Linked DNA regions of Coturnix japonica. The protein of the gene in region 1 purifies or fractionates together with the protein of each later gene. This does not show direct contact. Links are inferred from orthologs where the notes say so. Each region holds a gene or a part of one and is shown in the gene's direction. Other genes may lie near its edges.

Region 1 (4,419 bases):
GAAAATATCATTCTGAATAGCTTCATAGTACCCTTGGATCCACATCACGTGCGTTATGCAAAACAAGAATGTTCTGCAGACGATGCTTTTGTCAGTATTTCTAAGCAGACATTAGAGAAAGATGATCTTTGTCGAATCCATGAGGGGCCAGGGACAAGTGTGGGATGGAACTGAGTGTACTTTCTAACCTCAGTGGGCAGCCATACATATGGGAGCACACCCAGTGCTAACATTGGGTGCAGTTCAAATAGCTCCTCCAGTAGGTGCTGGTTGGCCAGAGGATCGAGCAGGTAATTAAAGTGCTAATTGCTTTTATAGGAACTGAATGTACAAGCCAGATGTGTTTTGCATTTGGAACTTGAGTAGCGCTGTGTCCATGGGTTCGTATGCACTGAATTGCCATAAAAACATTGAACTGCTGGGTTACGTTTCCTAGAGGAAATTCATCGCAGACACAGGCAACAAAAGGCCGATGCTTTCCCATTTCTCAGCCTCAACATCTGTTCCTGATCTCAGTGTATATACACGCTCTATTTGTGCCGGCACTCTTTGTTTTGGAACCCAGACCATTGCATTCGTTGACCGCATCTGTTGGGATGTCGTTTATAATAAAACGATTATAACTCACCAACGATTGGTTGTACTGGTGTCAGTCACTCATTGCAGCGTTCTCTGAACTCCTTTGTAGCTCACAGGGTAAAACACTCTAGGAATGAAGATGCTGGATTAGCACTGGGGAGGGGCAAAGGGGAAGCCCTATTGCTAATGCTGCTGCTGGGAAGCCACAACCTCAGCACGGCAGGAAAGCACTAAGACTTATCCCAAGTAGAAGTGCTATGATACAGGTTACTTAGCCATGGAGATCCTGTAACTCACAGGGTTATAGGGCAGGAGATCCCGTAATCCACAGGGTTATAGGGCAGGAGATCCCGTAACCCACAGGGTTGTAGGGCAGGAGATCCCGTAACCCACAGGGTTATAGGGCAGGTGGGATGGGGTCTCTGGGCGGCCTGATCTGGGGGCTGAGGTACCATTTGTGAACCATGGCAGGGCATTGCAGCTGGGTGATCTCCATGAAGCCTATAAGATGGTCCCATGGCACTAGTAGAGGTTCATGTTGAGGTTAGGACTAACTCCTTCCTGTGGAGGACAGTCACACTGAGGTGATCCCGCCCCGCTCAGCCCCTCACACCCCACAACCCAACCGCCGTCTGGAGGCGCACCACGGCGCACGCGCGGCTTTTAACCCCCATCCAACCAATCCCCTCCCACGCATCCCCTTAGCCCCGCCTCCTTTCTTTGAAAACCGATCTCATCCAATCCCCGCCCTCTAACCGCGAGCAACTGCCCAATCAGCGCCCGGCGGGGCGTGAGGTGGGCCGGCATGACGCAGCGGGTTTGTGCAGCCGGCAGTCGGCGCGGTGTTGGCGGTGGGGGCGGTCGGTCGGTCCGTGCTGCGCTGCGGCCTGTGACGCGTGACGCACCGCTACGTGAGGGGACGGGCGCTGCCGCCGCGGGTTCCGCGCTCTCGGCCCATCGATCGCCGCCGCCCTCCAACCCCCCCCCCCCCCCCCCCCCCCCCCCATAACAACAACCAGCGCCGCATGAGGCTGACGGCGCACACGCAGCCTCCCGCCGCCCTCCGCCTCTTCTTCGTCCGCCTCCTCCCTTGATGTGGTTCGTGGCCGGGCGGGGGACAAGATGCCGCCGTCCAAATCCCGTAAGATCGCGATCCTGGGCTACAGGAGCGTAGGTGAGTGTTAAGGGGGGGGAGACGAAATGGGAACGGGTGGGTGGGTGGGTGGCAGGTGCAGGGCTGGGCCGGGCCCCGCGCAGTGCGGCCGGGAGGCGCCATGGCGGCGCCGCAGAGCGCTGCGGGCCCGGGAGCCAACGTGAGACTGTGCCCTTAATTGGACAGGGGACGGCACCGGGACGGGGGGGGGGAACAGCGGGGTGTACGGAGCTTTGTGCCCGTTTCCTCTGTCTGTAGACGTGTAGGATGAACGTACGGAGCGCTGCGGTGCCGGGATCGGGAGTGACTGAGTGGTGCGGTCGATACGGTGGAGGGAACGGGTGACATTCAGAGGGACCTCGACAGGCTGGAAAGCTGGGCTCGGGGGTTATGTTGAACCTAATGAGGTTCAACACTGTTTTGCAGTTGGGCAGGAAGAACCCCAGGCACCTGTACAGGCTGGGAGGAGTTGTCCTTGAGAGCAGCTCGGCAGAGAAGGACCTGGGGGTCCTGATGGACGAGAGACTCAACATGAGCCAGCAGTGCGCTCTGGCAGCCCGGAAAGCAAATGGGATCCTGGGCTCCATCAGGAGAGGGGTGGTCAGCAGGGATAGGGAGGTGATCGTCCCTCTCTACTCGGCTCTTGTGAGGCTCCATCTGTTGTACTGTGTCCAGGTGTGGAGCCCTCAGTACAAAAAAGACATGGGAGATTTTGGAAAGGGTCCAGAGGAGGGACAGGAAGATGATCAGGGGGCTGGAGCACCTCCCCTATGAGGACAGGCTGAGGGAGTTGGGTTTGTTCAGCCTGGAGAAGAGAAGGTTGCGGGGTGACCTCATTGCAGCCTTTCAATACCTGAAGGGAACTTACACCCAGGAGGGGAGTAAACTCTTGGAAAGGGCTGACAATAGCAGGACACGGGGAAATGGTTTTAAGTTAAAAGAGGGAAGATTTAGGTTGGATGTTAGGGGGAAGTTCTTCACTAGGAGAGTGGTTAGGCCATGGAACAGGCTGCCCAGGGAGGTTGTGGATGCCCCGTCCTGGGAGGTGTTCAAGACCAGGTTGGACGGGGCCCTGGGCAACCTGATCTAGTAAAGGTGTATGTTTGGTGGCCCTGCCAGGCAGGGGGGTTGGAACTACATGATCCTTGAGGTCCCTTCCAACCCGGGTCATTCTGTGATTCTGTGATCGTACGGCAACACTGAAGGAAAGAACTTCCCGGCGCCATCCAAGCCGGGAGCTGCTCTACAGCCCCACCAGATTCAGCGTCGTGGGGCACGAATGGAGCGGTGCGGCTCGGCATCGATCTGACTTAAAAGCGTAGATCGATGGGAAGGATAACGAGTGGCTGGGAAATAAACTGCTGTAGGAAGGTGCCGCTGTGCTGCTGAAGGGTTTGTGCTGTGAGTGGTGTGTCTGCGGTCGCACACTCAGCATCCGTAACAACGCCTTTTGCTTTTCCCAAGATTAAAAAAGGTTACATGAGTTGTTTAGATGCTGTGTGTGTAGCAGCAGCCTGGCTTCAAGGCTGGATAAACAGTGCTGTGTCTGTATGGTGCTGGAAGGGAGCAGCCTGCAGGAGGTTGGTGGTTCACATGGGGTGTCTAATACGGCACAGTCAGCCTCGGAGCTTGTCTCCTTATGTTTTCTTCTCCGAGTCCGGACTCAAACAAGCACTGGGCAGTGTGTGTGGGTAGGAGGAACGCTGTCAATTCAGTACATTGGATGGTCCAGGGGTAGATGATCCATTGAGCCTGACAGCACACATTGCACATAGCCATTATTAATGCCATTGCTGGTGTGACCCAGGATGATTTGGTGCTTGTATAGAAGGAGGTGAGCAGAAAGTTGCCTCCTGCCCATTAGGGTTTACTACTGTGCTCCTTCACCTGCAGCTTCATGAGACTGATGTGGTTTGGGGCTCTGTGGGACATGGTCTGTTCCATTAGGACAACTGCTTGTTGTAGACATACAGAAGAGAAGTAATAGTTTGCCTTTCATTAACCATGACAACTCTGTTGCCTTGCTTGTTCTTAGGTATAAATCTTGCATGTTTAAGCCACAGAGTTAAGTATGGGAGCTTTACGTTTCTAGGCAAATATTTACATAAAAGATCCAGCAATAGACGTGAGCTGTTGGGTGTTCTGTCATGTAGGGCTGTCAGATAAACAAGAAACATAGAGCATGACATGAAGTCAACCCAAGGATGCCTTGCAAAGTCCAGGAGAATTAACAGCATGGTTTGGCTTCAGATAGACTTATAGGTAAGTCTGATATCACGATGGCATGAATTCCACTTGAACCCTGGGTAAAAGACAGGATCCCATCCCAGATGAAATAAGGGATGTTACATTTGAACAGAGCTAGTTTTTGTCGGGGTGGGGGATAATTAATTCCAAGATCTGAAGGGCTGCTGAAGGCTTCTGAGCTTCCTTTTATAAATAGGGAACTGCCATTAACCTTAACGTTAGCTTTGACCCTGCAGTCTGGGAGGCTGCTCTGTTACACCGTGAAATGTTTCCAGCTCTGTGCCTTGAGTGAATGCTGAGGTGACCTGGGCTGTGGGGTTGGGTGATCTTATCATTTGCATATACAGCATGAGATTAGAAAATGGCGACCTTTTCTCCATTCTCTTTCAGTTCTGTGCTGAAACAACCGAGCTGACACGTTTCGGGCCGTGAGCTGTTCC
Region 2 (3,812 bases), on another chromosome or scaffold:
AGCCTCCAAACAGGGAGCTGCAAAGTTGCCTAAAGATATTTAAGCATGAATTACTCAGAAAGATAGGAGCTGTGGGCTTCTGGGGGCTGGGTGCAGAGGCAGGCTCATTTTGCTGTAAGTTTCATAATTCTCTCTGCAAAAGTTTTTTTTTTTATTATGTGGTTTCCTGTAATGAGTATTTGTATGCCTCCTCCAGAACAATACCCAGGGGTTGGTTGGGAGGATCGTATTGGCAGTCTGATGATACAAGATTATGGAGTGTCTGAGGAGTATGACAAGATGACAGGAAAATCCTGGCTTTCTCTCCCCTCTTGCTCTTTTGATGCGATAGAAACCATATTCAGGATAAGCTCGTGTTTCAGAAAACATGGAAGGTTGTTGTTCTATGACCCGTTTTGTAGATAACAATTAGTTGTGTGTTGTTTTAAGGCTGAACACAGGACGATGACTGCTTTTATTCTGGCTGTAATTGTTAACAACTACAACACAGGACAGGTGAGTCCCAGCATCCTCTCTCCTTCTGTTGTCTCTCTCTTCTCTGCATTGTGCCTTTACTTTGATGAACGTGCCTTGGCTCGCATTAGTGCACAACCCTGAACTGGAGAATCGAAATAGAAGATAGCTTCACGATAGGTTTTGGTTCTTGTTTTGGTGGAGTAAAAGAAGAATTGGCCTGGAGGTGTAACAAGCACACGATCCGGATGTGCCAACTGGAAGAGGAGGTTAAGGACACACCAGCTGCCCTCCAGGCACTGCACTGACGTGCTGCTGATAGAGAAATAGTGCCTAGTTCTGTCAAGTGAGAATTTGATGGCTGTGATACAGTTCTTGAGAAGGATGTATGGAAGGAGCCATAAACCTTAAGGCTCTGACAGGTGCAAAGGAGTATCTCTAATGAGGAGAAAAACAGATTTTATGCGTTACAGGAAGTATTTCTAATGCTGACCTATTCAACTTGCTACTATAGCATGCAGTATACTTTGCCCTTGTGCTGCTTCCAAATGGTGTTTTGCAACAGGATCAGTATATAACCTGGTTTCTGGTCTGTTTTTTTCTTTTTTGATGATGAGGTGGGAAGCTGTCAACCAAAATAAATGGCATTGATTTGTGTTTTAGGAAGCCTGCCTTCAAGGAAACCTGATTGCTATTTGCCTGGAACAGTTGAACGATCCACATCCTCTCCTGCGTCAGTGGGTGGCCATTTGTTTGGGGCGTATTTGGCAGAACTTTGACTCAGCCAGGTGGTGCGGTGTGAGAGACAGCGCTCATGAAAAGCTCTACAGCCTCCTCTCTGATCCAATCCCAGAGGTAAGAATCCAACTGTTTAAACAAACACCAGCCGGACTGTCAGAATTGTGTAAGCAGGCTGCAGAAATACTTACAAAAACAGTGTCTTCAAGGGCTTTATGGCTGTATCTTATTGCTCTTCCTTCGAGATGGTTCAAATCACACAAGCCCTGTGAGAGAAGCAACTGAGGGGCTGTTCATACAGCCCAAGTCACAGAATCTTAGGACTGGCACAAGGAGGCACCCCCTTTTTCACTTGCCTGCGTATCAGAGGCTTTTTAACAAAAGCGGTCCCAAAATTCACTGTGTTTCAAAAAACCCTCTCATCTTTCTATCCGAGTATGGAAACTGTTCTTCTCCTGGCACATGTGAAAGTACATCTTTAACTGAATGCATTTTACTCTCATGACCAAATCTTCAAGAGAGCAGAGATTCTTGTGCAGAGCATGGCTGTGATTGACAGAGCCAGTCAGACCCTGCTGGGATTACGTGGTGTGTGGAAGTAAGCCTGGAGATAAACGCCACTGCTGACTTGCAGTCATTAAAGATTAGCTCCCCTTTTACACCAGTCTTTCTCTCCTGTATCTCCTACCTCCTTTCTCTTGCCTAATCTTTCCCACGTTCTGTAATCCGTATTTGTGCAGCGGTCGGGTCGACCTGTCTTTATGACACATCTGCACCTCTGTTTGAGGAGCCAGGGTGACCATTTCTGCTCTGTGAAGCACATCCTGCACTTGCTGATTATGCTGTATCCCCACTGTTTTCACTCTCTGCCAAGGCAGACTGTAAGGTTACCCAGCCATCTGATCCCTCCGTTCTTTGTGTGATCTGGCAAAATTTACCCTGATTTCAGCTGCTGTCTCTTTCTTTTTCCCAACTTCTGTTACCTTTCTGCATGCCTTTAACTGAAGACTGGAGTTCAGTGCTCTTGTTAAAGAGATTCACATGCCAACCGTAACTCCCTCTATGCCTTATTCCTATTAATTAATATTCTAGGCAGTATCAACTGGAAAAATCACCCATGGGAAGGTCACTGAGTATTCTGGGAAATTAAATGCACTCCTTCATCTGTGAATACTTATAACTCAGCACTTTGATGAACCTGGTTTGGTTCTTAGTCTCTGTGGGCTTCCATTCAGCCCTCGCTATTTACTTGACACAGTAGCCTGGGTTTCCAGAGGCACCATTTGTGGGGATAAGAGCTCCCAATGGCAAACTTGAGGCCAGAGCGAAGGGGAAGATAATGAGGAATGTTTCCCTCTCCCAGGTTCGCTGTGCTGCCGTCTTTGCACTGGGAACATTCGTGGGCAACTCAGCTGAACGGACCGACCACTCCACCACCATCGACCACAACGTGGCCATGATGCTGGCCCAGCTCATCAATGATGGGAGCCCCATGGTTCGGAAGGTAGGGACAGGGCAGCTCTGCAGTGGTTTGGTGGAGCTGTTCTGCCAAGCTCTGCACTGTGCTGAACCAGAGTGTGTTACTTAATAGACTTTTCACTGATTCTTATTTTTGTTGTTGTTTTTAAATTAAAGAGAATGCAGTGATGGAGGTAAGGAAGGAGAGTGGTGACGGTGAAGTCTTTTTCAGGTCGTTAAAGGATTTGTCTGTTAACACACTTCTGTTGGTTCCTGTTCTGATTGAAACATTTCACATTACACAACCTCAGTGAAATAGCAATCTGTTGCAGGAAACATGGAGTGTGCAGTGGTCCAAGAGGAGGAAGAGGAGAGGGAAGTAAGAGGGCTGTGAGAGAACATGAGAGCTCACAAACAGATCTTGTTGCTTTTGGAAACCGTAAGGAAGGATGACAAATGGGTTCAAAGGAATTCTTCACATTCTGGAGTGTTATTTTCTGATGCACCACTGTACAACAATAGAACATTAAACAGTTTTTGATGTTTTGGATTGTTCTTGATGGGATGCACTTAGACGTCCTAACGCTCGTGTCTGCTTAACTGGAACATCAATACCCTGACAGGTTGTCACCGACCAGCATTGTGAGGATTAATTTTTGCTGTCTTGTTCCAACATTTATCAATTTAATTCAAGAGAGAACTGCATGTCCCACTGTATGCTCTGAGATTCATAAATCTCTATTTTGGAGTTTCGTCCTCTGAACAGAGAACAGTGAGAAATGCTGGTTCTCCACCTTTCCTTTTGGCTATTTCCACACGCCCAGCAAATAATACCTATCTATGGGTCTGAACTTCACCACCTCTTCCCTCCCCACCTTTGTAATTCAGTGTTCCTAAGCTGCACCTATGGGAATGAAATGGCTATGGATTGGCCAGACTGTCCTTTGTGGGTACGTGGCATGGTCCTCATGTTGGCTGCTGACATGAAGGTCAGGGCAGGGCTCCTCGGGGGAGAGCTGAGCCACGTCCTCAAGGTCCACATGTCAAATACTGTTTCCTTCTGCTCAGAGCAAATGTAGGACAGGTTGTGGGGCAAAAGCTTGGCTCTCTGTTTGCATGGCACAGGGATGGGGTCATGCCATGCCACTGCAGGCTGAAGGCAC

What was found.
Region 2: the proteins of RHEB (region 1) and RPTOR purify together in Homo sapiens (affinity purification with western blotting, with the first as the bait; 3 studies listed by BioGRID). This does not show direct contact. The link is inferred for Coturnix japonica from reciprocal best matches to the Homo sapiens genes RHEB and RPTOR.

Annotation. Positions count from the first base shown.
Region 1 is NC_029517.1:5,599,568-5,603,986, reverse strand, and holds the start of RHEB (GTP-binding protein Rheb), read left to right. Parts: upstream 1-1,411; 5' UTR 1,412-1,701; coding exon 1,702-1,753; intron 1,754-4,419. UniProt on the Homo sapiens protein: Small GTPase that acts as an allosteric activator of the canonical mTORC1 complex, an evolutionarily conserved central nutrient sensor that stimulates anabolic reactions and macromolecule biosynthesis to promote cellular biomass generation and growth.
Region 2 is NC_029533.1:4,972,613-4,976,424, forward strand, and holds part of RPTOR (regulatory-associated protein of mTOR), read left to right. Parts: intron 1-429; coding exon 430-495; intron 496-1,116; coding exon 1,117-1,308; intron 1,309-2,554; coding exon 2,555-2,695; intron 2,696-3,812. UniProt on the Homo sapiens protein: Component of the mechanistic target of rapamycin complex 1 (mTORC1), an evolutionarily conserved central nutrient sensor that stimulates anabolic reactions and macromolecule biosynthesis to promote cellular biomass generation and growth.